4 linked regions of the Elephas maximus indicus genome follow. The protein of the gene in region 3 interacts with the protein of the main gene of each other region in a pairwise test. Links are inferred from orthologs where the notes say so. Each region holds a gene or a part of one and is shown on either strand. Other genes may lie near its edges. The genes, in order: PSMD9, C3H1orf216, PSMC6 and CRK.

Evidence for each region.
Region 1: the proteins of PSMC6 (region 3) and PSMD9 interact in binary tests that used the Homo sapiens proteins (3 or more experiments, as listed by UniProt). The two-hybrid records come from large-scale screens. The link is inferred for Elephas maximus indicus from reciprocal best matches to the Homo sapiens genes PSMC6 and PSMD9.
Region 2: the proteins of PSMC6 (region 3) and C3H1orf216 interact in binary tests that used the Homo sapiens proteins (3 or more experiments, as listed by UniProt). The two-hybrid records come from large-scale screens. The link is inferred for Elephas maximus indicus from reciprocal best matches to the Homo sapiens genes PSMC6 and C1orf216.
Region 4: the proteins of PSMC6 (region 3) and CRK interact in binary tests that used the Homo sapiens proteins (3 or more experiments, as listed by UniProt). The two-hybrid records come from large-scale screens. The link is inferred for Elephas maximus indicus from reciprocal best matches to the Homo sapiens genes PSMC6 and CRK.

Annotation. Positions count from the first base shown.
Region 1 is NC_064840.1:8,176,990-8,184,286, reverse strand, and holds the start of PSMD9 (26S proteasome non-ATPase regulatory subunit 9), read left to right. Parts: upstream 1-4,284; 5' UTR 4,285-4,362; coding exon 4,363-4,500; intron 4,501-7,297. UniProt on the Homo sapiens protein: Acts as a chaperone during the assembly of the 26S proteasome, specifically of the base subcomplex of the PA700/19S regulatory complex (RC).
Region 2 is NC_064821.1:77,046,239-77,054,000, reverse strand, and holds the start of C3H1orf216 (UPF0500 protein C1orf216 homolog), read left to right. Parts: upstream 1-4,742; 5' UTR 4,743-4,826; exon of another isoform or gene 4,827-4,850; intron 4,851-7,650; 5' UTR 7,651-7,655; coding exon 7,656-7,762.
Region 3 is NC_064828.1:64,960,075-64,967,943, reverse strand, and holds the start of PSMC6 (26S proteasome regulatory subunit 10B), read right to left. Parts: upstream 3,012-7,869; 5' UTR 2,840-3,011; intron 2,727-2,839; 5' UTR 2,601-2,726; intron 1-2,600. Other genes in the region: ERO1A (ERO1-like protein alpha), read left to right, coding at 3,471-3,584. UniProt on the Homo sapiens protein: Component of the 26S proteasome, a multiprotein complex involved in the ATP-dependent degradation of ubiquitinated proteins.
Region 4 is NC_064837.1:20,224,127-20,231,094, reverse strand, and holds the start of CRK (adapter molecule crk), read right to left. Parts: upstream 3,012-6,968; 5' UTR 2,876-3,011; coding exon 2,635-2,875; intron 1-2,634. UniProt on the Homo sapiens protein: Involved in cell branching and adhesion mediated by BCAR1-CRK-RAPGEF1 signaling and activation of RAP1.

The sequences.
Region 1 (7,297 bases), on a different chromosome or scaffold from region 3:
GTTAATGAGTCTTCCTCCAATCGTGATGCCCTGTTCTTCTTCGTGTACTCCAGCTTCTTGGATTATTTGCTCAGCATACAGATTGAATAGGTACGGTGAAAGGATACAACCTTTGCACACACCTTTACAGACTTTAAACCACTCAGTGTCCCCTTGTTCTGTCTGAACAACTGCCTCTTGGTCTATGTACAGGTTCCTCATGAGCACAATTAAGTGTTCTGGAATTCCCGTTCTTCACAATGTTATCCATAATTTGTTATGATCCACACAGTCGAATGCCTTTGCATAGTCAACAAAACACAGGTAAACATACTTCTGGTAAGATCCATCTGACATCACCAATGGTATCCCTGGTTCCACGTCCTCTTCTGAACCCGGCCTGAATTTCTGGCAGTTCCTTGTCAATATACTGCTGCAGCCACTTTCGAATGATCTTCAGCAAAATTTTCCTTGCATGTGATATTAGTGATATTGTTTGATAATTTTTCCATTTGGTTGGATCACCTTTTTTGGGAATAGGCATAAATATAGATCTCTACTAGTTGGTTGGCCAGGTAGCTGTCTTCCAAATTTCTTGGGATAGACGAGTGAGCACTTCCAGCGCTGTATCTGTTTGTTGAAACATCTCAACTGATATTCCATCAATTCCTGGAGCCTTGTTTTTCGCCAATGCCTTCAGAGCAGCTTGGACTTCTTCCTTCAGTACCATCGGTTCCTGATCATATGCTACCTCCTATAATGGTTGAACATTGACTAATTCTTTTTGGTATAACGACTGTGTATTCCTTCCACCTTCTTTTGATGCTTCTTACGTCAGTTATTATTTTCCCCATAGAATCCTTCGCTATTGCAATTCGAGATGAATTTTTTCTTTAGTTCTTTCATCTTGAGCAATGCCGAAGGTGTTCTTCCCTTTTGGTGTTCTATCTCTAGCTCTTTGCACATGTCATTATGATACTTTACTTTGTCTTCTTGAGCTGCCCTTTGAAATCTTCTGTTCAGTTCTTTTACTTCATCATTTCTTCCTTTTGCTTTAGCTGCTTGAGGTTCAAGAGCAAGTTTCAGAGTCTCCTCTGACATCCATCTTGGTCTTTTCTTTCTTTCCTGTCTTTTCAATGACCTCTTACTTTTTTCATGTATGATGTCCTTGATGTCATTCCATGACTTGTCTGGCCTTTGGTCATTAGTGTTCAATGTGTCAAATCTATTCTTGAGATGGTCTCTAAATTCAGGTGGGATATATTCAAGGTCATATTTTGGCTCTCGTGGACTTGCTCTGATTTTCTTCAGTTTCAACTTGAGCTTGCATGGAAGCAGCAACCAAGAAATCAAACGACGCATTGCATTGGGCAAATGTGCTGCAAAAGACCTCTTTAAAGTATTGAAAAGCAAAGATGTCACTTTGAAGACTAAGGTGCGCCTAACCCAAGCCATGATATTTTCAATTGCCTCATATGCATGTGAAAGCTGGAGTATGAATAAAGAAGACCGAAAAATTGATGCATTTGAATTGTGGTGTTGGTGAAGCATATTGAATATACCATGGACTGCCAGAAGAACGACGAAGTCTGTGCTGGAAGAAGTACAGCCAGAGTGCTCCTTGGAAGCGAGGATGGCAAGACTACATCTCACGTACTTTGGACGTGTTATCAGGAAGGAGCAGTCCCTGGGGAAGGACATCATGCTTGGTAAGGTAGAAAACAAAACCAAACCCAAACCCAGTGCCGTCAAGTCGATTCCAACTCATAGCAACCCTATAGGACAGAGTAGAACTGCCCCATACAGTTTACAAGGAGCGCCTGGCAGATTCGAACAGCTGACCCTTTGTTTAGCAGCCATAGCACTTAACCACTATACCACCAGGGTTTCTGGTAAGGTAGAAGGTCAGCAAAAAAGAGGAAGACCTTGGACAAGATGGATTGACACAGTAGCTGCAATAATAGGCTCAAGCATAGCAAGGATTATGACGATGGTGCAGGACTGGCCAGTGTTTTGTTCTCTGTGTTGAACCAACTCGAGGGTGCCTAACAATGGCATGATCTAGATAAAATGAGTTCATATTCAGATTTCACCAGTTGTCCCAATAATGTCTTTCAAAGCTGTTGCTTCTTAAAAATCTATCCAATCAAGGATCATGCATTGCATTTAGTTGTCTTACCTCTCTCCTTTCGTTGTCAATGTAAGAAATGTTAATGTATTTAAAAGCAATCAGTTGAACAAAATGTAGGAGGCCTAATGTAATTGATGGAGCCCTAGTGGTACAGTGGTTAAGAGCTACAGCTGCTAACCAAAAGGTTGGGAGATGTAGCCTCTCCTTGGAAATCCTATGGGGTGGGTCTACTCTGTCCTATAGCATTCTATGAGTCAGAATCGACTAGATAGCAATAGGTTTGTTTTGTTTTTGGTTAATGTGATTGGTTCTACTTTTTTTCTGTAAGAGATGATTGTTTGATTCTGAAATAATTTCAAACTTACAGAAAAGTTGCAAAAATAGTACAAAGAATGTTTGTATGTATTTTACCCAGAGTCGCCAGCCCTTTACATTTTCCCTTATTTATCATACTTTCTTTGCAAATACAATTCACATTTTCTTTTGAAAACATTTGAAAATAAATTGCCCCTTCCGCCCCTAAATAATCGGAGTGTATTTTCTAAGGTCATTCTCTTACATGATCACAGTGCAAGTATCAAAATTAAGAAACTTAACATTGATACTACATATACCCATATTCATAGTTTCTCTAGTTATCCCAATAATCTTTTACGGTTGGTAGGGGGAAAGGTAGGAAACCAGAATCCAATCAAGGATCACGTATTGCATTTGGTTGTTTCATCTCTTTAGTGTCCTTCAATCCAGGCAATTTCGAGCTTCCGTGTGTGTGTGTGTGTGTGTATGTGTGATTTCACAACATTGACCTTTTTTTAAGAGTTCAGGCCAGTTGTTTTGCAGAATGTCCCTCAATTTGGCTTTGTCCATTTGTTTTCCTATGATTAGATTCAGAGTAAGCACGTTTGGCATGAATACTACAGGTGATGTCCTGTCCTTTCGGTGCAAACTGTTACACAGCACACGTCAAGATGTTAAATTTGTTCATTTGGTTAAGCTGGGTTGGGATTTTGGCTTCACATTTCACAAGTTGGGCAAGTTGGTTAGTGAGTCAGTTTTCTTGTCTTCAAATGAGTAATAATAATACTGGTTTCATGAGCTTGTTGAATACATATAAGGCACTTAGAATAGTGCCTGGCTCTTTGCAAGCATTCAGTAAATAAATTATTAATATTATCATCACTGCTATTTTTACCAAACTGTATGTTGGTGTATTAGTAGGTGTGTGGAGTTGATTTTTGACTAACAGTCAGAAAATCATGTTCGACTCATAGCCACTCATGTGACACAGTAGAACTGCCTTCATAGGTTTCCTATATGCTGTAATGTTTACGGGAACAGATCACCAGGTCTTTTCTCTCACAGAGCAACTAGTGGGTTTGACCTTTTGGTTAGCAGCTGAGCGCTTAACCATTGCACCACCAGGGCTCCTTCCAAAGTGTATCCTGTGCCCTTGCTGTTGAGTTGATTCTGACTCATAGCGACCCTGTAGGACAGAGTAGAACTGAACTGCCCCATAGAGTTTCCAAGAAGCTCCTGGTGAATTTGAACTGCGGATCGTTTGGTTAGCATAGTTCTTAACCATTATGCCACCAGGGTTTCCTCCAAGGTGTATAAAGACCTAATATGCGCTGTGCCCCATGCTGCACGTTCTTTTTCATTACTTTTTCATCCCTCCAGTGCAGGGCGCATAGGAGGCATCTAAAGAGTATTGTTGGCTGACTGACAACTCTGAGATAGATTGCTATCAATATCGCACCATTTTACAGATGAAGAAACTGAGGCTCAGACAAATGAGGTGATTTACCTAGTGTCCCATAGATTGCCAGAAGTAGCAAGAACCAGGATCTGAACCTAGATTTGTCAGATCTATTGGAAAATGGGGGATAAAGAAGTGAACTTTTGTTATATTCGTCAAGGGCTGTACAGATGTGAAGGTCTGAATTGCAGCGCCTTGCACAGTGCTCTGGCACATACATGCAGTAGGTGCTCAATAAATGCTTCAGAAGTCCCCCGGCTTCGGTAGGGCGGGGACCGGGAATTCCAGGCGGCTCCACGCCCGGGTGCCACAGAACCACGTGTTCCACCAGGGTGTGGCTTTCTGTGACCCCGCCCCACCACCGAAGCCACGCCCTTAGGCTCGCGCGCTTAGACAGTTGGGGTGTTTTGGCCCGCAGGGGGAGCCGTAGCCACAGTCTCCTCAGGCGTCCGTATCCAGGGAGCGGGGTGTCCAGAGCCCTGGACCAAGCTCCAAGATGTCGGGGAAGGACCGTGGCGAGAGCGAAGGCGCCCCGCGGGCCGGCGCGGTGACAATCAGCGACATCCAGGAGCTAATGCGGCGCAAGGACGAGATCGAGGCGCAGATCAAGGCCAATTATGAAGTGCTGGAGAGCGTGAGTGTGGGCCCCGGCTCCCGGCCGGGCGTGGGGGCGCCCCGAGGCCTCCTGGCTGCCACCCGCAAGCCGGGGCGGCCTCGGCCCTGGCTCTTAGCCCTGGAGCTCGCCCTTCCTGGGAGGCCCAAGGCGCTGCAACTGCGGCCTCTGTCGGCAGCAGGCAGCACCGACAGATAACGTTAACAATAATAACAACGTTGACAGGATGGCAAGCGCGTGTGGAGCCCTTACTGAGTGCCAGGCGCTGTCTTCAGTGCTTTACATCTGTTAGGCCATTTAAGGCTCCCACCAGGCCTTTGAGGTTATTACTGTTAGATGCTGTCGAGTGGGTCCCCGCTCATAGCGACCCTAAGTACAACAGAAGGAAACACCGCCTGTCCTGCGCCATCCTCACAATCATTAACGTTTCAGCTTATCGTTGCAGCTGCGGTGTCAGTCCATCTTTGTTAAGGGTCGTCCTCTCCTTTACTGACCCTCTGCTTTATCAAACATGATGTACTTCTCCAGGGACTAGTTCCTCCTGATAGCGTGTCCGAAGTATGTGAGATAAAGGCTGGCCGTCTTCACTTCTAAGCAACATTCTGGCTGTATTTCTTCCGAGACAGATGTGTTCATTTTTCTGGCAGTCCATGGTGTATTCAGTATTCTTCGCCAACACCGTACCTCGAAGGCATCTTCCAGCTTTCACATGAATATCAGGCAATTGAAAATACCATGGCTTGGGTCAGGGCACCTTAGTTTTCAAACCGACATCTTTGCTTTTTAGCACTTTAAAGAGGTGTTTTACAGCAGATTTGCCCAATGCAATACGTTGTTTGATTTCTTGACTGCTGCTTTCATGGGCATTAATTGTGGATCCAAGTAAGATGAAATCCTTGACAACTTCAGCCTTTTCTCCGTTTATCATGATGTGGCTTATTGGTCCAGTTGTCAGGATTTTTGTTTTCCTTATGTTGGAAAAAAAAATATTTATTTATTTTTTTTTATGTTGAGGTGTAATCCGTACTGAAGGCTGTGGTCTTTGATCTTTGTTAATAAGTGAAATAATAGTGTCGTTTGAGGTGGGTACTATTTCTCCCATTATAGGAATGAGGGAACTGAGGCATTCTTTAATTTAAACTTGCCTGAGGTCACAGAACTAATAAGTTGTGGAGAGGGTGGTGGTCACCACCACCATCAGTCCTTGTTGAACGTTTACCAGGGTGGTGTGCTTTGTTAACTATCTTACATTGGTGTTTCTAACTTTAATGAGCATTAACGGAGGTCTTGTCAAAATGCAGGTTCCGAAGTACAGGGTTGTGTGGCCAGACACTCCGTTTCTATCAAAGTCCAAGGGGATGCTGCTGCTGCAGGTCTAAGGACTGCACTTTGAGTAGGAAAAAGCCTGTTGGCCTCCGAGTTGATTCTGAGTCATAGTGACCCTACAGGGCAGAATAGAACTGTCTCATAGAGTTTCCAAGGAGTGGCTGGTGGATTCGAACTGCTGACTTTTTTGTTAGCAGCCAAATGCTTAACCACTGCGCCATGTTCTGTACTCACCTGAGTAGTACTGGTGGCGTGCTGGTTAAGCAGCATGGCTGCTAACTAAAGGTCTATGGTTCAAACCCACCAGCCGCTCTGCAGGAGGAAGGTGTGCCAGCCCGCTTTTGTAAAGATCATAGCCTTGGAAACCCTTTGGGGCAGTTCTACTCTGTCTATAGGGTCACTGTGAGTCCAAATCCATGACAGTGGGTTTTGGTACTCACCTGATAAAGGGGGCTTATTGCTACGGAGGAAACAGGTTGCAAGTGGGGCACACCTTTGCCCAGGATCGTGCAGCTTGGAAGTGGCAGGGTGGGGCTTGTTCCCAGGCCTGTCTGGCTTCAAAGCAGTTTTTCCTATGCCACCCACTGTAAAACCAAACCACAAGTCAATTTGCAGGGGTCAAGTAAATCAAATACATCTTATATAGGACAAAATGGGGTGCATTTTAGGTGGTGGAAGTAAGCTGAAGTGTCACGTGGAGGCAGGGTACTATTTTACTGGTGTTAACTGTATGCCTGAACAGTGCTGCTTTTCGTGTGCATTAAATCGTGAAACCCTCACAACTGCCCATGGAAGTTGGTGTGTTCTCCTGAAGCTTCAAAATGGGAAGTCACTTGTTCAGAGTCACAAAGTGGCGTTCAGACTTCAGGGCTGTTTAGTCCAGAACCTGTGCTTTCAAGCTCATGCCAGCAATTTCTCCAAAGTCAGTTACTTTTCTACCAGATGCTGAAATCTGTATGCTTCCTTGCTGTTAGTCTCTTGATTTTTTTTTTTTAAAACTGACATTTTCTTTACATTTCTTAAATTTAAGAAAATCTTCTTTTTCTTTAAAGAAATGTATTTTAAAAGGAAACTTTATATTTCTGCAGCATCTGGAAAACCAGAATCTCTTCCCTTATATATAAGGTAAAAATGCCGAGCAAGGCGACAGAAAGTGGTAATTGCCTCCAGCTAGCTCCTTTGCTTCCTGAAGGCTTTCATCTTGAACCTTTCCTCTCTATTTGTTGGAAAAGAAGTAGAGAGCTAAAACTATAAATCTCTTAAAATAAAATAGGGGGGTAAATCTTCCTGATCTTGAGTTAGGCAGAGCCTTCTTAGATATGACACCCAAAGTACAAAATCAAACCAAAAAAAGAAAGAAAAAAAAAAGGATAAATTGGACTCATTAAAGTTAAAAACTTGTGCTTCGAAGGATGAAATCAAGAAAGTGAAAAGCCCCCTTTGTCACTGGGTGGTGCCTGGCTGCCGTCACTGAACATTTTGATCAAAGATT
Region 2 (7,762 bases), on a different chromosome or scaffold from region 3:
AGCTTCCTAAGCCTTCCTTTCTTGAAATGAACCAATTCCGGGGAATGATTTTCCTTCTAATCTGCCTTAAGAGCTCTCTGGTGTGTCAGGAGCCCTCTAAGACCACCTGGTTATGGGAGCCCGAGTTACAATGTTCACAGCTATAAAGTAATAATCTTCAAGGTATGTGCACACAGTGTCTTGCTTTAGCCTCCCCACAACACAGTGATGATAACATTATTATTATCATGTTTATTTAACCCATAAAGGCTAAAATTACTTGCCTAAGTTCCCAGAGCCTTGTAGGAAGTTGGGCTGATGATATGGGATCAGGAAAAGAGAAAAAACCACGTAGCAATAATGTTGTTTGTACTCCAGGACTAGATGTGTATGCTTTGTTGTGGTGTGGAATTTTTGGGAGGCTTCCTCAGTTATCTCCTTACTGCCCACAGGATGAGTGAAGCCCAAGCTGCTTGGAATGGTAGTCAAGACTTTTCACAACCGGGCCGACTTTAGCCTCCAGCCTAGCTTCCCACCTCCATTTTCCCCCAAGCTCCAGGCACACTGGCCACTCAACATTCCCTGAACACACTCTAATATGCAGTCTCCTCTGCCTTCTCCCACTGTCTCTTGCTGAGCTTCTACTCTTCAAATATCACCTCCAAGAAGCCTTTCCTTGCCTTCCTTTGTGTTCGTTACATTTGTCTTCTACCTCTGTTGCAGGACCCATCACATTGTGTAGCCCACTTTTTTCTGTGTCCATTTCCCTTTCTAAACTGGGAGCTCTCCGTGGCCATGACCAGGTTCAATACCTGGCACAATGTAAGTACTCTGTAACTGTGTGCTGAATGTGAACAAGTGGATGGAAAGGGGAAAGCTCTCTGAGGCTGAATCACCTTGATCCTTCCCATCCCATTCTTCCTGAAAGTATTGGCATTGAGAAAGTATCCACTTTATGCCTGTCTTACTGCCTGGAATAGAAATTCCTGTCATCTTCCCTTGTTTCCTTGCCTGACACCCCTGGCCCCTGGGGCTGGATCTGGCTACTCACTGCTAGCCTTCTTGATTCTAGTATCTGTCTGCTTGCCAAGACACCTACCCACCACCCACTGCTGGATTTTCAGGATGAGCTGGCTTGCTGGCACTGGCCACCACTGGTGATTTCTGTGTCCCTGCCAGTTAAGTCCCTGGCATGTATGTGGGTAGGTGGACAGGGCTACAGACACCCCTTCACTTGGGGTGATTGATTCCCTGGCATCATGACTGGGAAAGCCTATTGTGAATGAATGACAGACATCTGTAAATCTGCTTTTCTGTGGCTGTGCAGACATGGATGTCCCTACCTTCCCAGGGCTTTTTGTTCTCCTGGCTCCTACTTCTCTGAAAATCATGGCATAGCGAGGACCCCTGTCTGAGCACTTAACACATGAATTATGAAGTGCTAGAGCATTCCACACAATGTTGCCCTTGACTAAGAAGAGAGACCACAGTCTGATGCCCTTGAAGTTCATTTGTCTCAACACATATATGGTTATTTAGAAGCATCTTGCTTTATAACAAGGGAATGACCAATTGATGATTCAGCTTGGTGACAGCCAGGAAAAAATACCCGGTGAGTTTGGGGTGCTACTTGGCAAAGTACAATACAGGCTTTAACTCAACAATCAAATATACGATAGCTCTTCTCTCATAGCTACCATACATACCAAGAAGTGTAAGTGGGGGTGGCATGCTATGCCCACTAATGCACCTACTGACTCAAAGAGTTTGCTTCCTGTCTCTGAGATTCTAGGTTCTCCTTATAGCGAGGTTTAGCATCTAGGGGGAATGTTTCCACCAGGGAACACAGAAATGATACCACTGCCTTTCAGGTACCTCATAATATTAGATAAATAGAAGAGAAGGGGATCACAGTGTAGGCTGGGCAGATTATGGCTGTCAAGGGGGAATGGAGTCGCTACTACTAAATGAGGGCCGAGAGGTGCAGGAGTGGAACTCACGGGACCCCTGGGTTTCCACCTTGTGCTATTGCATTAACCAGGATTCTTTTGGTTGCCAGTGATGGAAATCCCACTCAGGTTAGCCTTGGCAAAAGAAGGGATTTATTGGAAGGTATACAAAACTACTTGGTAGGCCTCAGGAAACCAGGCCTAGAATGTCACCAAGACTTTTTTCTTTTATCTCTGCTTCTGTGTCAGAATCATTTTCTCCTACTACAGATTGACTTCTTCCACTCCGCAGGGAATATGATTGCTGCAGCCTTAGGCTCACATCTTCCCTGTTTTAATTTCATTTCAAAACGTCCCAGAGAAAGACTCAGACTGGCTCACCTGCACTGAGGTTCCTATCCCTGGACTCTTAGCTCATCACTAACCCATTTAACTCGTGTGGTTGGAGCAGGGAGAGCCAGAAGAAAAGGTAGGAGGCAGCTGTTCTGGGCAGGCCCAACAATTCAATGATCACTATCCCTCTGTGGTAAGGGAAGACCAGAACAACCGTAGACCACAAAAGGCTCAGGGCCCTCAGGAGTTAGAATCTGGGTCACCTCATAAAGAAGAAAACCCTGGCTAAAGGCAAGGAGAACTTGGAGTGAATAATGGAAAGGGAAGACTAGTTAAGCTTCAGAGTCCCTGGGTGGTGAAAACGGTTAATGCACTTTGCTGCTACACAAAAGGTTAGAGGTTTGAGCCCACCCAGAGGCACCTCAGAAGAAAGGCCTGGTGATGTACTTCCAAAAAATCAGCCATTGAAAACCCTATGGAGCATAGTTCTACATGGCGTCACTACGAGAACTGGACCCTATGGCAACTGATTTAGTTAGACCTCAGGACCTGATGTAGAAAAGGGGCTGTGCTCTCCATCTGTACTTTCTTAGCTGGGAGAGTATCCAAAGATTGAGTTACCTCTGCCTTTTCCTTGTCCCTCTTAAAATAGGATTTGTCATAATTTTTTCCTCTTCCATTCCCTCTGGAAGAATGAATAAGAATTAATCATAACCTGTTGCCATCACGTCGATTCCAACTTATAGTGACCCTATAGGACAGAGTAGAACTGCCTCATAGGGTTTCTAAAGCTATAAATATTTATGGTAGCACCACCAGGGCTCCTCCCGTAAGTACTACAGCCTAGGAAACTGTATGGGGCAGTTCTACCTTGTCCTATAGGGTCGCTATAAGTTGCAATTGATGACTTGATGGCACAACAACTTCCTTAACACCAGCCAATGCTTTTTGGTTTTATCATTGTTGTTGTTAGTTGTCATCCACTGGGCTCCAACTCATGGTGACCTATGAGACATTGCCTTATCCTGTGCCATCTTCATGATCGTTGGTATGTTTGAGTCCATTGTTGTGGCTGTTGCGTCAATCCATCTCACCGAGGGTTTCTCTCATTTTCACTGAACAAATATGATATCCTTTTCTAGCAACTACCCTTTGGTTGGAAACAGGGTCCCCATACCCTTTTTGAACAAACAAATCTCTCTTAGAGGAAGTGCAACCAGAATGCTCTTTGGAAGCAGGGATGGCGAGACTGCGTCTCACATACTTTGGACATGTTTTCAGGAGGGATCAGTCCTCAGAGAAGGACATCATGCTTGGTAAAGTAGAGGGTCAGTGAAAAACAGGAAGGCCATCAAGATGGATTGACACAGTGGCTGCAACAATGGGCTCAGGCACAGTAACAATTGTGAGGATGGCGCAGGACCCGGCAATGTTTCATTCTGTTGTGCATAGGGTTGCTATGAGTCAGAACCAACTGGACAGCACCTAACAACAACAGTAACAAATACCCTATACATTTTCGCCAAGGAGGAAGGGAGTGAGGGGAATCAGGCTTCATGAAGATGAGACTTGGAGAAGAATCCACTGGGGTTCGGAAACCTGTACTGGATACCCTATTCTACCTCTTCACCTGGGCAAAAGTACAGGAGCCCAAGAGTAAAAAAAAAAAAAAAATTTTTTTTTTTTTTGGAGGTAATTCCCCTACTTCGGAGGGGAAGCCATCTATCTGGGCTTGGTTGCAGGGCCTTAGTCCCAAGTTCTGCCCCAGAGTGGATTTTTTTTCTTCTCTTAAATCTTTCTTTAATGATTTTAATAATCACAGGATACATAATTTCAAATTGTGACAACTGCTATGAAGAAAAGGAATACAGTGACCAGAGAGGATATAAAAAGGGGAACTAACTGATCTAGGGGGTCAGAGAAGGATTCCCTGAGAAGAGCTCTAAAATGTGAGCAGATCAAAGAAGAAAGAGAATTTAAGGCAGAAGGAACAGTGTGCAAAAGCCGAGGGGCAGAAAGAAGCCAGGGGCCCCACTGTAGAGATGGAGGGCAAAAAATGAAGCTGTCCAGGCAGACAGAGCGCAGGACGCACAGAGAGCCCTGCGGCAGCCGCCCTAAGGTTTCCCCTGCAATGGGAAGCCATTGAACAGTTTTAGGCAGGAGTAGCAGTAACATGATCAGATTTTCATTTTGAAAATATCACTGTCTGCAGTGAGGTGAAGCAATCGGAGGGGCCCAGTGCCGTTAGACGATAAAATTGGACGTGGAAATCCTCAGTAAAACCAGCCCAAGGCGGGGGAAGGCGGTTCCGGCGGCCCCAGCGCGCAGCTCCACGGAAAACCGAACCGGCTCACGTGGGCCACCGCCCCGCCCCGCCCCGCCGCGCTGACGCCGCAGACACTGTAGCGAGGGCCTGGGGCTGGGCGTGCCGCCACGGACCCCGCAGCCCACGTCCCGGCCAGCGTGGACGCCCAGGCCGAGGGATCCCCAGCCCAAGTCGCCGACTTCCCGCCGGGGGTCCGGAGCGGAGCCGGAACCAGCCGCGCAGGGCCGCGCCTCTGGGCCGTGAGTCGGGGCCCGGGGAGAGAGGTGGGCTCAGCCTCGGGGAGAGGGGGCGTCGCAGCCTCGGCCCAGCTGCCTCCTTTGGGGAGATTAGGGAAGGAGGGTCGCTATCCTGTCTCCTGGGAGTAGCCTCCCTCTAACGCAAGGCTCGGCAGGAAGGGAGTCCTCCTCCAGGGTAGATTGCGAATTAGCTTGGGGAGAGGCTTGATCCTGGGGTGTCTGAGCTACTAATTTTGCCATCTCTGAGAACCCGTGATTATCCCCACCCCATCTTCCTTCAGGGCCCATCCCAGGCCTAAACCAAAAAACCAAACCCGTTGCGGTCCAGTTGATTCCGACTCAAAGGACAGACTCCTATAGGACAGAGTAGAACTGCCCCATAGGGTTTCCAAGCAGCGGCTGGTGGGTTTGAACGGCTGACCTTTTGGTTAGCAGCCTGAGCTCTTAACCACTGTGCCACCAGGGCCCCACCCAGGCCTAGGAAAAGTTTGAAGGAGGGAAGATCTCCATGCACCTTTCATAAGCTTTGCCTAGAGGGATTGGGGGTGGGGTAGGGAGTGCAGGTGACAAAGGAACTATCCCTACACCGTTCCTTCCAGGACTTCTGTCTCAGCTGGATGTGGGGAGGGTTCCTGCCACCTTTAGAGATCCTCCTAGTGCCTGTGCCACATACAGTATCCCTCACTCCTACTGATCCTCAGTTTTTCTAATCCCAGTAATGTGTGGTCAACAGGAACCTCTTTTCAATTCAAACCCTAATTTTGGTAGAAACCAGTTATTGGAGAGGAAAGAGTGGTGTGCCCTGCTTGCCCTCCTGGGCCTTGGGATGGAGCAAGCCAGGCGTCGGGACTCATGATAATAGACATATTCCAGGGGCACTGGGAGGGAAGGGGGCTCTCAGAGGAGAGCTTGTCAAGGAGTGGGCTCCCTGGGGCAGAGGAGGGAAATGGACACAGCTCATCCCGCACTTAGCAGTCAGTGTTAACCTCCTGTTACCTGCACCTGGGAATCCCGCTGCAGCTCCCTCTCCCCAGCTCACTCACTCAGGGAGTACATACTGACACCTGCTAAATGCCAGGCTCTGCACTGAGGCCTGGACGTGTAACCAGCTGCCAGTTGCCATCTAATTGATTCTAACTATGGCAACCCCATGTGTGTCAGAGTAGAACTGTGCTCCACAGCATTTTCAATGGCTGTTTTTTTTTTTTTTTTTTGGAAGTAGAGCACCAGACCTCTCTTCCAAGGTGCCTCTGGGTGGACTTCAACCTCCAACCTTTCTTTCAAGTAACAGCTAAGTGCATTGACTGTTTGCACCAGCTGGTGATACAATGCAGAGTCTATCGAGGAGCTCCCACTGTAGTCCAGGAGCAAGATTTACAAGGTATTATTGTTTGGAAACCCTGGTGGCATAGTGGTTAAGTGCTACGGCTGCTAACCAAAGGGTCGGCAGTTCGAATCCGCCAGGTGCTCCTTGGAAACTCTATGAGGCAGTTCTACTCTGTTCTATAGGGTTGCTATGAGTCAGAATCGACTCCACGGCACTGGGTATTGTTGAGCAATAGTTAAGAGCTCAGCTGCTAAACAAAAGGCTGGCAGTTCAAATCCACCAGCTGCTCCTTGGAAATCCTACAAGGCAGTTCTACTCTGACCTATAGGGTCACTATGAAGTGGAATCGACTTGATGGCAATGGGTTATTTACAACATAGGTAAAAAAAAAAAAAAGTTGAATAGAGATTTACTGACCATCAGCCATGTGCCAGTGACAGGAAACAAACATGGATAAGACAGTGTATACCCAGGGCAATGGGGACCCAGAGGAAGGCATAGTTAAATGTGTGCATGTTTTTGTGTATTGGGAGGAGTAGGGGAGAATTATCAAGGAGGCTTCAGACAGGTGGGGATATTAGAGCTGAGCTTTGAAGTGGAAAAGGAGGGGCTTAGAGGGAAGGAAAGAGGAAGGGTATCAGAAGCCAAGGAGAGTAATGGTGTGTTTTGAGATTTCTGAACAGTTTAATGGGATGTGAGGGGCAGAGTGGCAAGAGGCAAGTGTGGAAGGGTGAGTAGGGGCTGGATCAAGCAGACTTGTGTAGGCCATATAGCAGTTTAGCAGGAGTTTAGTGACAGCACGTAGAGCTGTAAAAAATCAAATTTACATTTTTAACTACAGGCAGAGAGACCAGTAAAAGGGCCGTGGCAGTAAGAAGTTGTGGGTAAGAGGTAACCTGGATCAAGTGAAAGTGAGAGCAGATACATGTACATAAACACACACAAAGTTTTAAGAGGAACAATCTACAGAATTTGGTGGCCGATTAGAAGGGGGTAGGAAGAAGAGTGAGATGTCTAGGATGTTCCCAGTATTCTGGCTGGGGTTATTGAATGGCTAGTGGAGCCGTTTGCTGAGGCCACTGAAGAGGGAGAGCTGGTTTGGACACACAGAATTTGAGGAGCCTGGGGGATGTCTAGGTTGCAGGATCGGATGGCAGTTGGATCTGAGGTGGAGACAGATTTGGGAGTCACCAACGTATGGATGGTTCTTGAAGCTACAGTAGAGGATGAGGTCATCAGGGGAGACTGCATAAAAATGAGAATAGAAGGACACCTGTCTCAGAGGGCTGAGGACACCAGTGTTTAAGGGATGGGTAGAGGAAAGTCTATGCAGGAGACTGAGAACAGTCAGAGAGGGTGGGGGAAAACCACAAAGGGAAACGGACTGAGAAGGAGCAGCCAGGCTCATGCTTACTACCTCACCCCAGCAGCTAGGTTGGTGTGACTTCAGGCACCCCACTCTGTCTTTCCGTGACTCATTCTTCTGCTTCCCCCTTACAGACCAGATGTTTGCCATCCAGCCAGGGCTAGCTGAGGGGGGCCAGTTCCTGGGGGACCCACCTCCTGGGATATGTCAGCCCGAACTCCAACCAGACAGCAACTCCAACTTCAT
Region 3 (7,869 bases):
GGATTTACAACACACAGGGAAATCACATCAGATGGCAAAATGGTAGACAATCATACAAACTGGGAATCATGACGTAGCCAAGTTGACAGATACTTTTGGCGGACACAATTCAATCCACGACAGAAGGTGAAGATAGAAGTTAGGAGATATGCTTCTCCAACTTAGATGACTCTAAGGACCTTGAGAGAAAAGTCCAGCCATGTACATGTACACACTTATACACAATAAATATTAATTAGATAAACAGATCTAATCAACTATGTTGTGTCCCCCAAAAGTATCTGTCAGCTTGTCTAGGTCATGATTCCCAGTATTGTACGATTGTCTACCATTTTGCCATCTGATGTGATTTCCCTACGCGTTGTAAACCCTATACCTTCAGGCTTTTATTTAGCCATTCTTCCTTTTGTATCTGAATATTCCTTTTTTCTTTGCTAAATTTTTTCCTTTGAATTATTTTACTCCAGTCTACTCACTACCAGAAAGTATTTAGGTACTAAGAAACTTCCCACAGAAATCTCCATGTCTCATTTTGAGAAACTGAGCTCAAGCCATTTCCTGCTTTCGTCATTAAAAAAAAAAAAAAAAAGCTGTTATTTGCACAGTAATCAGAATTCCATCAAGAAATGCTGTGTACATTAAAACTAAGTTATGTTATTGTTATAATCACTAGTGTTAGGATAACAAGGTTCTGTTCTTGTTCATCTCTAAAAAATTTAATGTTGTTCAGGATGCGATTTAAAAACTCAAAGGTTGAACTATGTACCCTGTGGGCGTTCATTAAATAGCTATTGAATGACTAATCAGTTATTTCATGAGACCTAACACAGGTGAGATGATTGCCAGAGTGCGAAGAGTTGAACTTGTAGACTCACACAAAGACCGACTTGAAGTATTTTCAGGGAAACGTCAGTAAGATTCACACCACATGGATAGAACTATTTTACATTTCTAAAATCTCTTAAAAATATGAATGGAAAACTATAATTATCAAGACAATAAAGTAAAAAAAATATCTTATATGGAGCTTGTTTCCAATGATAAGTTTCTAGAAATTTTTTCTGGGCAAGAGTTGAGTCTTATGGAATACTTTAAGTTGCCCGAGGTTACGACCTGTTGCATCAGGGTGAAATCTTGATTTGATTAATGTTCAGACTGCTTCCTTTTTTCCTTCTTAGGCTTCATTCACCTAGTCTTTTTTCTTCTCGTGTCTCTCATTTTTTACTCTCTAATCTTCAGATATTAGTATGATGACCACGGGGAGGATATTCATTTCCACAAACACATGCAAAGACAGGCTCCGTGTTAGGATCTCTGGAAGTCATAGGTATGCTTGAGATATATCCTGCTTATAAGGAGTTTAAGGAGTTTACAATTCAGTGGTAGAAAATGCCATAAAAGATTACATGCTAAGTTCTATGAGGTGTCCCTCCTGGAACAGGGACTGGGCCTTATACATCTTTCTCTCTCCAGTGTCAAGCTCAGTCTGGCATAAGGTAAGTTTATTGAATTGAAATTCATTTAGAGGCTGGAACTGGGTGAAGAGGAAACCAGGAAGACCTCTTGGAGGAGAGAACATGTGATCTGGGTCTGGATTTGTATACGAAAAAAAAAACAAACAGCTGTATAAAAAGGGCTTTACAGGTAATTACAGAAATTGTATTAACATGTACATGCAGTATATGTGGCAGTCTGCTTCGGTAGAGATTTATAGCCTAGGAAACCCTATGAGGTTGCTATGAGTAGGAATTGACTCAACGCAGTGGGTTTAGTTTTGGGTGTGGCATGTTGTAGATGTTAGAACCAGAGCTTCTCAGGTCCACCATGGCTAGTGACTTTTTACTTCATATTGGTTTGCTTGGCAGTGGTGGACAGAGCATAGGTTGTAATAGTACGATATATGAGTTTGAATCTCACCTCTACCATGTTGTACCATTTTGCTGTTAGCTGTGGAATTGGTCCAACTCATGGAGAGTCCCGTGCACAACTGAATCAAATGTTGCTCAATCCTCAGCCATTTCCATGGTCAGTTGTAGATGCTGATTGGACCATTGTAATCCATAGTTTTCACTTCCTGATTTTCTGAAATAGTTCGTTAGGCCTTTCTTCCTAGTTCCTCTTATTCTGGAAGGTCCCCTGAAACCTGTTCAGCATCATAGCAACACGCAAAACGGCAAGCCTCCATGGAAGGGTGGTGGCTGCGCAAGAGGTTCATTGAGCCTGGGTCTCCCGCATGGAAGGCAAGAATTCTTCCACTTAATCACCTATTCCCTGGCATGGCCATGTGATTTTGAATAACATGTAAGCTTTCTGTGCCCATTTTCTCAGCTAGAAAACAGGAGCATACCTATTTGGGGCCTAGCATATCTTAAGCTACTTCATTAAAAGATGGTTAAAAAAAAAATCTATACACTTAAAAAAAATATTTGAACCTTTAATGTGCAAGAAATTAGAAAGCTTTCCAATTTCACCTTGAAATTTCCTTAAAAAAAAAAAAATGTTTATAGACTAAATCCACGGCTGAATGTTAAAAGACCATGACTGGGAATCAGAGGACCTGGCTTTACCACTACCCAGCTCCTAGTCCATGCTCACATTACCTCATCTCTCTGGTCCTGTTCCGTCCTCCAAAATGAGAGGGTGGTCTCCATCCGGACTGTCCAAATACGGTAGTCACTAGCCGCCTGTGGCTATGAAGTGTGCCTAGTCTGTATAATATATAAGCACTGGATTTCAAAGACAAAAATAAAATATTTTATGAATAATTTTAATGTTGATTATACTTGGAAACAATATTTTCACCTGTGGGTTAAATAAAATATATTAAAATTAATTTTACCTGCTTCTTTTTTGATGTGGCTACTAGAAAATTTAAATTACACATGGGGCTCGCATTATACTTTTATTGGACAGCGCTTTAAGCCAGGGACACGATGGACACGTAATTTGTACGGCTTGAGTTCCTTGCAATGAAATATCGAAGGATTGGCCAGGAGAGAGCAGGGGTGGGGCGCGGCCCTGCAGGGAAAACACAGGCCTCTCGGACTTTCGCTCTGCTGGGGAAGCTGGGAGGACCCTCGACTCTCGCCCCGGGGCTCGGGGCGGCCAAGCCGCGTCAAGTCTCCAGGCCAGGGGCGTCGAGGGGCTGGGGCGGGCGTCAAAGTGCCGGGGAGGAGGCGCGGCCGGCCGGGCGGAGCCGAACAGGGAAGCGGGTTGGTGCGTCAACCTCACGCGCCGGGGAGGAAGCCGGTCCTAGGCCGAAGGCGGCCGGCGCGGGCGCCGCCGCACGTCCTCGGGCTCTGCCGGAGGTGGCGGCCGCTGAGAGGAGGGAGAGCCGAGGGCGGGCCTGGGAGGCGGCCCGGAGGTGGGGCTCTGCCGGGGCCGGCCCGCGCGGGCTTATCTGAGGGCGCAGGGCCTGCGGCCGAGTGCTGGAGACTCCGAGCGTGGGGCGACGAGCGGTCGGAGCGGGTATGGGCCGCCGCTGGGGTTTCCTGATCGGCTTCCTGGGCGCCGTGTGCCTGCTCGGCTCGGGCCACAGCGGGCAGGAGCCCCCGGAGACAGCGGCGCAGAGGTGCTTCTGCCAGGTGAGGGTTCTGCGCGTCCCTACCAGTCCCGCGTCCCCCGACTCTGTCGTGCGCTCCGCCGCGCGCGCCCCGGCAGGTGAACGGATGGGAGTGCGGTCTTGCAGTTCTTCCCGCCTGGACAGAGACCCGTTTGCTTCTTCTGCTCCTTGACTGAGGCTGAGTCCTCTGCAGGTCGCCTTCGCATCAGGGGCGGGGAGAGGAGTGTAGTGCACGCTGTGTGTTTTTTACCGACTTGGCTTATGCCTCTTTGTTGATCGGTCCTGCCGGGGAGGATGTGCGCGCACAACACCAGTATTCTTGTTATTTTCACAGAACTCAGGTCTTCCTAACTTCTAACTTGACCTGGGACTTGTGTGCGCTGTACCTGAGCTGGGTGCCTTCCTTTCTGGCCAGTACACGCTTTTGTAGGGGAGTTGCTCTCAGAATTCGTTGTCAGGCAGGAGAATGGCTACGCCTGACTTTTCTGTGTCTAAACCGAACTGCTTGGTTTCTTAGGTGCTGCGGTTGCCCTGTAGCTCCTCGCCGTGTGTGTGGTTTCTTTTTCCTGAATGTAATGTCATTTAACCTTGAAACCCATTTAACTGGCTTGAAATAAGAAGATGGTCCTCCTCCTCAACCCACAAATTTAGTTACAAGCTTATTAGGGTCATTTTCTTCTATAGTGAAAGATGGAAACCCTGGTGACGTAGTGGTTAAGAGCTAGGGCTGCTAACCCAAAGGTCGATAGTTCAAATCCACCAGGTGCTCCTTGGAAACCCTATGGGGGCAGTTCTACTCTGTCATATAGGGTCACTATTAGTCAGAATCGACTCGACGGCAATGGGCTTGGTTTACACGTTTTTGAGCAAAAAATTTGAAGAAATGTACAGGTTTCTGGTATTTACAGTAATAGTATTTCAGTATCATTACTCTTGTTAAAGCCACTTTTTGGTTGGCTTCTGCTGATAAAAATTAAATTTCATATGAAACTGAGGGATGGGTATCCAAATTATTCCTTTTAAGTGTATTTTCTTGTTAACTTATTGTTAGAAATAACATATTATGTGTGTGGGGGCGTGATGCTATTTTATAATGGAAAAAAGTGCTTCAAATAGAGAAAAAGATGTCTCCTTCAAATTTTTGGATTTTGTCGTTTTGTGGAGTGATTTGGGAGTTGAGGTCAGTGTTAACTAGGAATGTGTGAGGGAAGTTGAGGGTAAATTCCAGCTTTACAACCAGAGGTTTCAAAGCTCCTGTGTATTCAGTGATAGCAAACAGTACACAGACAAGTACTTAAAAGGTCCCTTTTCTCTGATCACAAATATAATGTAATACAAAGTTTAAACATTTAAAAAATAAGTAACCTTAAAATTAGGTATTCAGTGCTGAAAGAAGATGTTTAATGTAACATTTCAACTAAATTCTAGAGATTTGGGTAATGGAATAAAAGTACAAGTTGAGTCCTTCAACTTTCCCTCCACCCCCCCAATTTTTTTTTAGATGTCTAATTAAAATTGGGTCATTTTACTTTTTTACGTTTATTTTCTGATCAGTGATTAGGCCTCTCTCCACCACAATTTCTTCAGATTTAAATAGTCTCCCAAAACAAAAGCCTATTTATTAGGCCCTTTTCCTGTCCTTCTAGAAGAAGTCTTGCTATCTGTTTTTTTTTTTTTTTCAGGGTCAGTTTACAAGATAATAAATTGAGGATAACATAATTAAAAAAATTTTTTTGAGAGAAATTTAAAACCATCTACTTGAAAAAAAACTTAAGAACAAAAACCAAACTTAACCAAAACTTAAGAACAGAGACCATAAATTTTAATTCAGTAAATGAAACAAAGAAAAATGTATTTCAGTTTTTTGATGGCCAGTAGTAAAAGGAGTGAGGGTGAGGGGACAAGAGGGAAAAGGAGGAGGATGTGTAGACATGAAGAGAAAATAGAGACAAGCATATAAACATGGATATAGAGAGAGAGGGGGGAAGGAGGAGAAATGAAGATAATAGAGATGAGTGGCGTAAGTTATTCATTCAACAAGCGTTTATAAACGTTATGTACATTGACCTGAGTGCTTTTGATGCAGAAATGACTACGGCATGATCCCTGCCCTGAAGAGTTCAGTTTAGTGAATAATGTTCATTTTTGGGCAGGGTAGGAGGCATCCTAAACACTTTAAAAAGTACATATTGCTAGAAAACTAAATTAAGAACTAAACTTTCACCTAAGGTTTGGAAATTATTCTTTAAATTTAGTTGCTTATTATTATGTATTATTTTTATTATGTATATGTGTTAGTTGGCTACTTCTGTTTAACGTCAAGTCCTACCAAAACCAATTTTACCGTATGTTGTAAATTCTTTTTATTATCAGTGCTTTAGTATTAGTTGCTAAGTGATCAATTTTCTGGGACTTGTAAATCTTCCTTATATATGATCCCCTGTTTTTGAAAAAATGCCATTTAATTTTTAAAAATTAAAAAAAATTGTTACACAGCAATATTGACTTCTTTTTTCCTTTTGGCATACGAGTCTATGAAGTTTAACACATGCATAGGTTTGTGTAATCACCTCATAATCAGGGTCAGCCCTTTCTTTAAACCAAAATAGTATTTGTAGTATTTGTTGTAATGAGGTTGGACTTAAAGTAAGTGAAAGACCCTCAGAGCTACTTATTGCTGTTATAGCTGCTATTGAGTTGGCGCAACTCCCAGTGACCCAGTGCACAATGGAACAAAACACTGCCTGGTCCTGTGCCATCTCCACGATCGGTTGCAGATCTGACCATCGTGATCCATAGGGGTTTCTTCGTTATGTATCACTAGAGAGAATGAAATGTAACAGATTTTAGTCACATTCATGAAATTCCAGAATGCATCTTAAAGAAATAACCTCAGAAGAAATATTGAAGCCCAGATATGGAGGCAATATGGACTTTTTTTTTTCATTTAAATTAATTAGAACCAAGTTTGTAAACTCGTATGTACTCAGTATTAATGTGGCTACTGCGTAACTGCACAGTCAGAGCCATTTAATTGAGTGTAGTAGCTTTCCTTCAGGCTAATGAAAGTTAACCCAATAATAATAATGAAATATTGTATTTTTATATATAATTAAATATAATCTTTCAATAATGAAAGATAATCCAAAACGACTACTCTCAAGCACATGGGATGCATTTTGGAATGCATGATAGTCTACATACATGTATTATGTCAGATTTACCTGTCAAGTGTCATGTTTAAAAAAAAAAAACAACCAACCAAACCCAGTTCCGTCAAGTCGAGTCTGACTTATAGCGACCCTATAGGACAAAGTAGAACTGCCCCATAGAGTTTAGGTCAATTTGAAAAATGGTTTATATTTGTTAACTGAAGTGGCCTTGTCATGGGAGAGACATCATTGGTAATATATTCAGTGGTTGGTGGAAATAAGCCCAGGATTAAAATCTAGTCAGAGGGATCTTTGACACAGGTTATACTGGAGACCTGTACACTGAGACCATTATCTCTGAATGCCGGCTGTAATCCAGGCTTTTTTGAACAAAGTGATTGGAAGAAATACTTTTGTATTGGTTGCCATACTTTGGGTGATTTGAGAACATTTTAAAATTCTAGCAAGGCCAAAAGTTTAAAGCAGAAATAGCTTTAAGTGTTCCATGTCCTTAGAATGGTGCTTACAGCCTTATAGAATCTTTGATTGGTGTTCCCAGGCTTCCATTAACAGAGTTGTCTCAGTGTACTCTGTCAGCAAGTGGATAATTTTTATGTTTTTTTTTTTTTTAATAGCCACAAAGTACAATAAAATTAAATACACCTTGAATTGTGTTCTCCCCCCTCCCCATATATGTTATAAAACCTAACATCTATGCCTGTGGTTATAATCCCATTTGGGAATGGGTTGTCTTTGTTACGCTTCAGATTCTTCTTCTCAAGTTTTGTGTGTATGTGTGTTTGTTTCTTTTCGTCTAAATGTCTCTGCTTGGCAACTGTCCCTTTGGCCTTTGCAGTCTCTAAGTCTGTTATTCTTTGTATAGTAATTTGTATCAAAGGGGAGAAATAGTAACTAATGTATGTCCTTAGGAGTTCTGGCTTTTAAGGCTCAAAATGAAGGTGTAAACAATCTCTTTAGATGTGAAAAATCAAAAAATTTTTTTCTTTTTTTTAGTGTGTGTGTGTGTTTTAGGTGAAAACTTACAGTGCAAATTATTTTCTCATTCAAAAATTTGTACACAAATTGTTTTGTGACATTGATTGCACACTTTTGTATTGTTGGTATCCAAAATTAAGACTCTAAGTTTATTGTATA
Region 4 (6,968 bases), on a different chromosome or scaffold from region 3:
TAAATGTTAGCTATTAATTTCATTTTACTTGAATCCACAATCAAAGCCCATGGAAGCAGCAGTCAAAAAATCCAATAACCTATTATTGCATTGGGCAAATCTGTTGCAAAAAACCTCCTTCAAGTGTTAAAAGGAAAAGATCTCACTTTGAGGACTAAGGTGTGCCTGATCCAAGCCATGGTATTTTCAATTGCCTCACAGGGTTTTTGGGGCATATGCATGCAAAACCTCTGAATATGGAAGACTGAAGAACTGATGCCTTTGAACAGTGGTGTTGGCAAAGAACCCTGAATATACCATGGACTGCCAGAAGAACAATCTGTCTTGGAAGAAGTACAGCCAGAATGCTCCTTAGAAGGGAGGATGCAAAGACTTTGTCTCACGTACTGTGGACATGTTATCGGGAGGGACTAGTCCCTAGAGAAGGACATCATGCTTGGTACAGAAGAGAGTCAATGAAAAAGAGAAAGCCCCTCAACGAGATGGATTGACACAGTGGCTGCAATAATGGGCTCAAACAGCAATGAGTATAAGGATGGTACAAGACCAGGCAGTGTTTCATTCTGTCGTACATAGGTTCACTATGAGTCAGAATCGGCTCAAAAGCACCTAACAACAACATTAATTTTGTATATGCCTCTCTAAAACTCAAGAAATTCTTCTGTATGGTTTCAAAAGAAATACAGCTCAATGGAGAGGAGGACAACAGAGATGAAGTAATCTTTATAAAGACAGCAACTGAATCAATTACCCTGCATAGAATATGGAGTGCATTGCAGAAACAGGCATTACCACAATGCCCATGAACTTTCCACACCCCATCCACAAACTCTGGCAATCTTCACCTTCTCTCCTGGGCCAAGGATCTAAACTCTTATCTGTTTTGAAAAGGTGGAGCTCCATACCAAGGTAAGCATTGGGAAATAAAACCATAATGCCAAGGTATGGAGAAATTTCAAACTAAAAAAGCAACCTGCTGCCATTTCCAAATTTTGTAACCAACAAAACGTACACACAAACAAAATGTTAAGAACTGAACTTCAATGAGTTTGCCTCCACGTTACTGTATGTGATACCAAACCTTAGATACCATGCAGGCAGCATCAAAGCAGAATACACCTAAAAGCAAAACCAAAACCGTTGCCATCAGGTGGATTCTGACTCATAGCGACCCTGTAAGGCAGTAATGCTGCCCCTAGGGCTTCCAATCTAGTTTAGGGCAAATGATGGTACATCAATACTCGCATCTCATGCTTAATTATATTAAATCAATTAGACTGAGAAAGATCTAGGAAAATTTATGGACTTAAAGACCTCATACTCATTTTCTAACTTGCTATGTGTTAATAACAAAGAGATTGCCTATCCTGTCTCCCCCTTTCTGGCCAGACTGTCAGTCTAAATTAGGCCTATTGTAAAAGAGCCGGCCTGCAAAGGCTGGCTCTGGAACCTCCTAATTCATATAAGACTGGCCTGGATCTAATCTCAGTTGGTCAGGAGGATAACTACTTCAACTTGGGAACAGTGAGAAGGCATCAGGACTCTTGGTCCTCTTACACAGATAATGCTAACCGCAGAATTACTCTGTACCTCACAACTCTCAAATACTAAATGCATAAATTCCATTAACACTCCTCAAACAACTTCAATGACATGACTAAATCTCAGTGATCATTGGTAAGGAAGACCAGTGTAGTTAAACACTCAGAAAATCTGATCCAGCCAGGTTTGTTCCCAATTTCCATGAAGACTCAGGCTACAGCCCCAACTTACTGAGCAAGAAGGGGCCCTGAAGTACAAGACTAACAATGTTTAAGCTCAAGGAAAAATGAAATCCATTCACTTTTAGGGAAGAGGTTGTTTCCATTGGCTTATTTCTGGTTTATTTTCTGAAAAACTCTTTCTCCCCTATGCATTGCTTGCAGAGAAGGACAGTCTTTTGGCCACTAAGATTTCTTGGATACAGTCAGCCAAGCATTAACTTGTTCTGGGCTGGTCTCAGAGGGCTTTCTTCAATCACCAAGGCACTTAGCTAATCACCTTCGTCCTCCACAGGAGAAGAGGACGGTAAAAGACTTTTGGAAAAATGCCCAAGAAAGGAAAAAGCTGACCGGTTTCCTGAGGGTGTCTCCATCCCTCTTGACCGGTATGGGGTGACTTCCTACCAAAGGCCACCAGGGGAGTATGGCCAAACCTGGCTCTCCAACACAGCAGGAAGTGTTTCTAGCCTAAAAGCCACTTGTAGGATTATCGAATTCATTCTGGGTACCGCTGCCAAGTGATGCCCCCGCAGTGCCAACATCCCCCTCAGCTCTTTGTCCCCACGTTGTCCCGCCCTGCCCTTGCACACTGGCCCGGGCACTAGCCCCACCCTGGGGCCGAAGCAGTTCCCCTTCCCCTGGGCCGTCCTCCCAAGTCACACCCAGAGGCCTCGGTCAGCCGCTCCTCCTCCCCCACACACTCCCGCTCTCCGTTGAGAACTAGCTCCAGCAGTAGGCTGCCCACTGCCCCTGTCGCTTCAGCCCTCTGTCCACGACCCTCGTGGGGGCCAGCTCACGAGAAGCAGCCGGCCAGGCTGGAGAGTTCCGCGGCCCTCACCCCCGCCCGGGGCCTCCCGTCCCGTGTGTCCCTCACCGGGCGGAGGCTGGGCGGGCGACGGCGGCACCGGGGGGCGCGGGCCGCTGCTGTTGATGATGTAGTGGGAGACGCGCGAGTTCTCGGAGACGCTCAGTACATAGTCCCCGGGGCTGGTGCTCGAGTCCCGCACCAGGAACACCCCGTGCCGCTGGCCCTGCAACAGCGCCACCGCCTCCTGCCGGCTCAACCGCCCCCAGTACCAACTACTCCGCTCCTCCGAGTCGAAGTTGCCTGCCATGGCCGCCTCCGCGCCTACACGCTGGGCCGCGGCCGCCGCGCGCGCACCCCTCCAGCCCCGGCGCCCGCCGCCGAGCGGACCGGCTCCGGTCTCAGTCTCACAGCAGCGCCCGAAATGGCGGCGGCGGCCGCGGGCCTTCCCCACCGGAAATGACGCGCTCCCAGCCTCAGAGAGGCTGCCGGGAAGGGGCCCGCCGGCCGCCATTGGGAGAAGGGCAAGAGAGACCTCTCGCACGCATTGCGCATGCATTGCGCATGCGGCCTCATGGGCGTCGCCGCCGGGCTCGGACCCGAACTGCAGAAGATGGAGAGGTGGAGTCTAGGGCCGAAGGGGCGGGGCCCCAGCCAGCGGTCCCCAGAGGTTTGTTTTTGTGCTGTTGGCTACGCGGTTCTTCGCTCCATTAGGCTTCAAGTTACTGGATGGCCCAGGACTTCTAGGCAGTGACTCCGAAACAGAATTGGGGTTATAAAAGGTGGATGTGATAAACCAGAGACTACACCAGCCGGAGACCGGAAGAGCTAGATGGTGCCCGGCTACAACCGATGACTACTCTGACAGGGACCACAACAGAGAACCCCTGAGGGAGCAGAAGAGCAGTGGGATGCAGATCCCAAATTTTCATAAAAAGACCAGACTTAATGGTCTGACTGAGACTAGAAGGACCTTCTGTTGCCCCAGGACAGGAACCATTCCCCAAGCCAATTCTTCAGACATGGATTGGACTGGACAATGGGTTGGAGAGGGATGCTGGTGAGGAGTGAGCTTCTTGGATCAGGTGGACACTTGAGACTGTTGGCATCTCCTGTCTGAAGGGGAGATGAGAGGGTAAGAGGAGGGTAGAAGCCGACAAAATGGACATGAAAAAGAGAGAGTGGAGGGAGAGAGCGGGCTGTCTCATTAGGGGGAGAGCACTTGGGAGTATGTTAAAAAAAAAAAAAAAAACGTTGCCATCGAATCGATTCCGACTCATAGGAGTATGTAGCAAGGTGTATATAAGCTTTTGTGTGAGAGACTGACTTGATTTGTAAACTTTCACTTAAAGCACAATAAAAATTAAAAACAAAAAAAGGTAGATGTGAGCCCACGACCTGAGCTCTCAGCAAGGTTCCCTGAGACGTCGGGCCTTTTCTGCTGGCTAAGTTCTTGTTTTCATTGATTCATTTAGCGAACAGCACACTTGCCAGGTGGGTGCAAAGGTGACCGAGGCTGAGCCCAACCCTCACCGAATTCGCAGACCAGTGGGAGGAGCCAGGAAAGAATGACAATGGAGTGCCAAATGCTAGGATGGGGAACAAGCCTGGGGCTCTAGGAACACAGAACAGGCTCCCTAATTCAGTTTGGGGAGGGAGGCTTGAGCAGAATGTTGAATGGCAAGTGGGGAAGGGCACTGAAGTCAAAGGGAACAGAGTGTGGTGTGGCAAGCCAGGCAGAAGTATGGTGTTCTCACTATTGAGGCTTTCAAGTTATCGGCCCAGATTCCTCTAACCCTAAATTGTGCCCGTGTGTGTCTTCCCCTCTCACCGCCACTGTCAGGATCACTTCGCTTCTGTATTACTGTTAAGAGCCTCCTTGCTGGTAGGCTTCAGTCTTTGTGCTCTTAATTGCCCCCCACACTGCTGCCAAGGGTGACCTTTCTAAAACGTCCGTCTGAGTCTTGCTACTCCGCGTGAAACCTTTAACAGTCTTCAAATGTTAAAACTGCCAGCTTCACTCACAGCATAAAGCTGGGCCACAGCCTCATCTTAACTGCTCCTGTGTGAACCCCCTGTCCCAGTAATGCCCTTTCACCCCTTATGGAACCTCAAACTCAAACGTCTCCCCTTTTCTGATCAACCCATCACTCCCTCTCTGCCCTGACAGCTTTGTGTCCATATTGTCTCCTTACAGCTTTTGTACCATCGTACTGTAATTTTTCACTTACAGCTCTGTCTGTACCCCATGCTAGAGCTTCTCAAAGGCCCAGCATCTAGTTAGGAGACACTCCTAAACATTTCATAATAACCCACCAAAATCCAAACCTGTTGCCGTAGAGTTGATTCCAACTCATAGTGACCATATAGGACAGAGTAGAACTGCCCCGTAGGGTTTCCAAGGCTGTAATCTTTACAGAAGCAGACTGCTACATCTTCCTCCTGTGGGGCAGATGGTGGTTCAAACCGCCGAACTTTTTTGGTTAGCAGCTGAGCACTTAACCACCATGCCATCAGGGCTCCTTTTTCCTAATAACAGCTAAACGTTTATTCAAGGCTTACTACCTACCAGGCATGGTACTAAATGACTTTAAATGGATCATGACATTTAATACTTGCAGCCACTTTATAGGTAGGTATTGTACAACTAGCCTCATTTTACAGATGAGAAGACTAAAACTCAGAGAGGTTAAGTGACTTGTTCAAAGTCACACAGCTGCTGAGTGAGGAGCTGGGATTCAAATTGGAGGACAACCAGAGCTATTGATCACTCTGCTATATCCTCAGACCTCTGGGATAGGAAACTGGGTGGGGGCCTGGGGAGGGGGGCAAATCTGTATTTTGAAAAAATCAGTCAGCCCTGGGTTATGGCTCATGTGAATAACACAGCTCTTCCAGGTCCACGTCACACACCCCTGGGCCCACTCTGGGTAGCATGGGGAGGGGACACCTTCCCAGCTGTGTGTGACTCACTGTAACCCCGGCTTAGTCACACTTCGTCACCATGTGCCAGCAGCAGAAGCCACTCGAGCCTGATTCTGACCCTTTGAGAAGAAGCACCTGCTCTTCATTTCTACAAGAATGCTGGCACTGAGGGACAGGCCCTGACTCAGAGACTGCCTATGAGAGTCTGAAGCCATGCCTCCCCCACCCGCAGGGCACATGGAAATGACTTAAATATTTTTTAAAAAGGAAAGAAATCATAAATGAGCTGGAAAACAAACAAAGGGGGGGTAGGCAAGAAGGAGAGATCCAGCCCAGGAAGCCACTCAAGTGGGTCCTTCCTGGGAGGGCAGAGGGCAGGAATGTAGGAACAGGAGTGGCCTTGGGGGAAAACAAAGTCATTAGTGAAAGAAGTGAGCAAGCCACCCTGCCCCCTCCCTCCTTTCTCCTCTCCTCCTCCTCCTCTCCCCTTCATAATTAAAGATTTACAGCTATATTTAGGTTTTTGCCTCCTGATAAGCTTTGAGACTTGTCCTACAAAGAAAGAGACCTCCTTGCTTAGGAAAGGCTCTGTGTGTGGGGCCTGGGGAGGTGAGGCAAGGAGTTACCTGAAGGAGATATACAGGGGGAAAGAAAGGGAAGGCTGCCCAGTCCAAGAGGAAAAGACACCAAAGTCCTCCACTCCACGCTCTACCCCCTAAACCTCCTTATTTTAGCAATGGAGGTACAGCAGGGGTCAACAGCCTGCTTGCCTGCCTGCTCTGTGTCCCCTAAAGTGACCATAGCTGGGCAGGTTGTGTGCAATGCACAACTCCAAGATACTGTGTACATGAAGCTTCTGTAGTTGGGTTACTAATATTCACTTTCCTTTTTTTTTAAAAAAAAAAAAAAAGCAGAACAAGTTTATTTGTATCAAGATGACAAAAATTGCTATTTAAAGCAAAAAACAACAGTATCACCTTTCAAAGTGCATGCTTGTCTGTGATGTCCCTCCCACTCCCACCCCTACCACCAACCCCACCCCACATGGGTAGGCCTTAGTTCTGCAGAGACAAGCAGCAGTCTTAAAGCGTGGAAAGGTAGGGCCTGGAGACAGACACTGGGGGAAAGCTCTGGGGAGAAATGTGAGGGAACTCAAGGAGGGTCTTGGGGAAGAGAGGGGGCTGGGAACACAGGCGGGAGGCTGGATCTTCCAGAAATATCAGCAAGATGTTCCCAGTGGCAACATGACCGCAAGACTTTTGAGAATGAAGATGCAAAATACTCAATTTTGAGCTGTTTGCTTCACTGCAATATAAAGCCCTCTCACTGCCCTCCATTCTTTACGAAATTCTGCTGCTCACACAAATGCCTTCCTCATCTCTACATTCATGGAGCTGAGATAGTCAAGAACACTTGAAGGAGGAGAGACGTCAGTGTGCCTGGTCTTCACTTCCCATCCTCTCCCCATGCTCACTCCT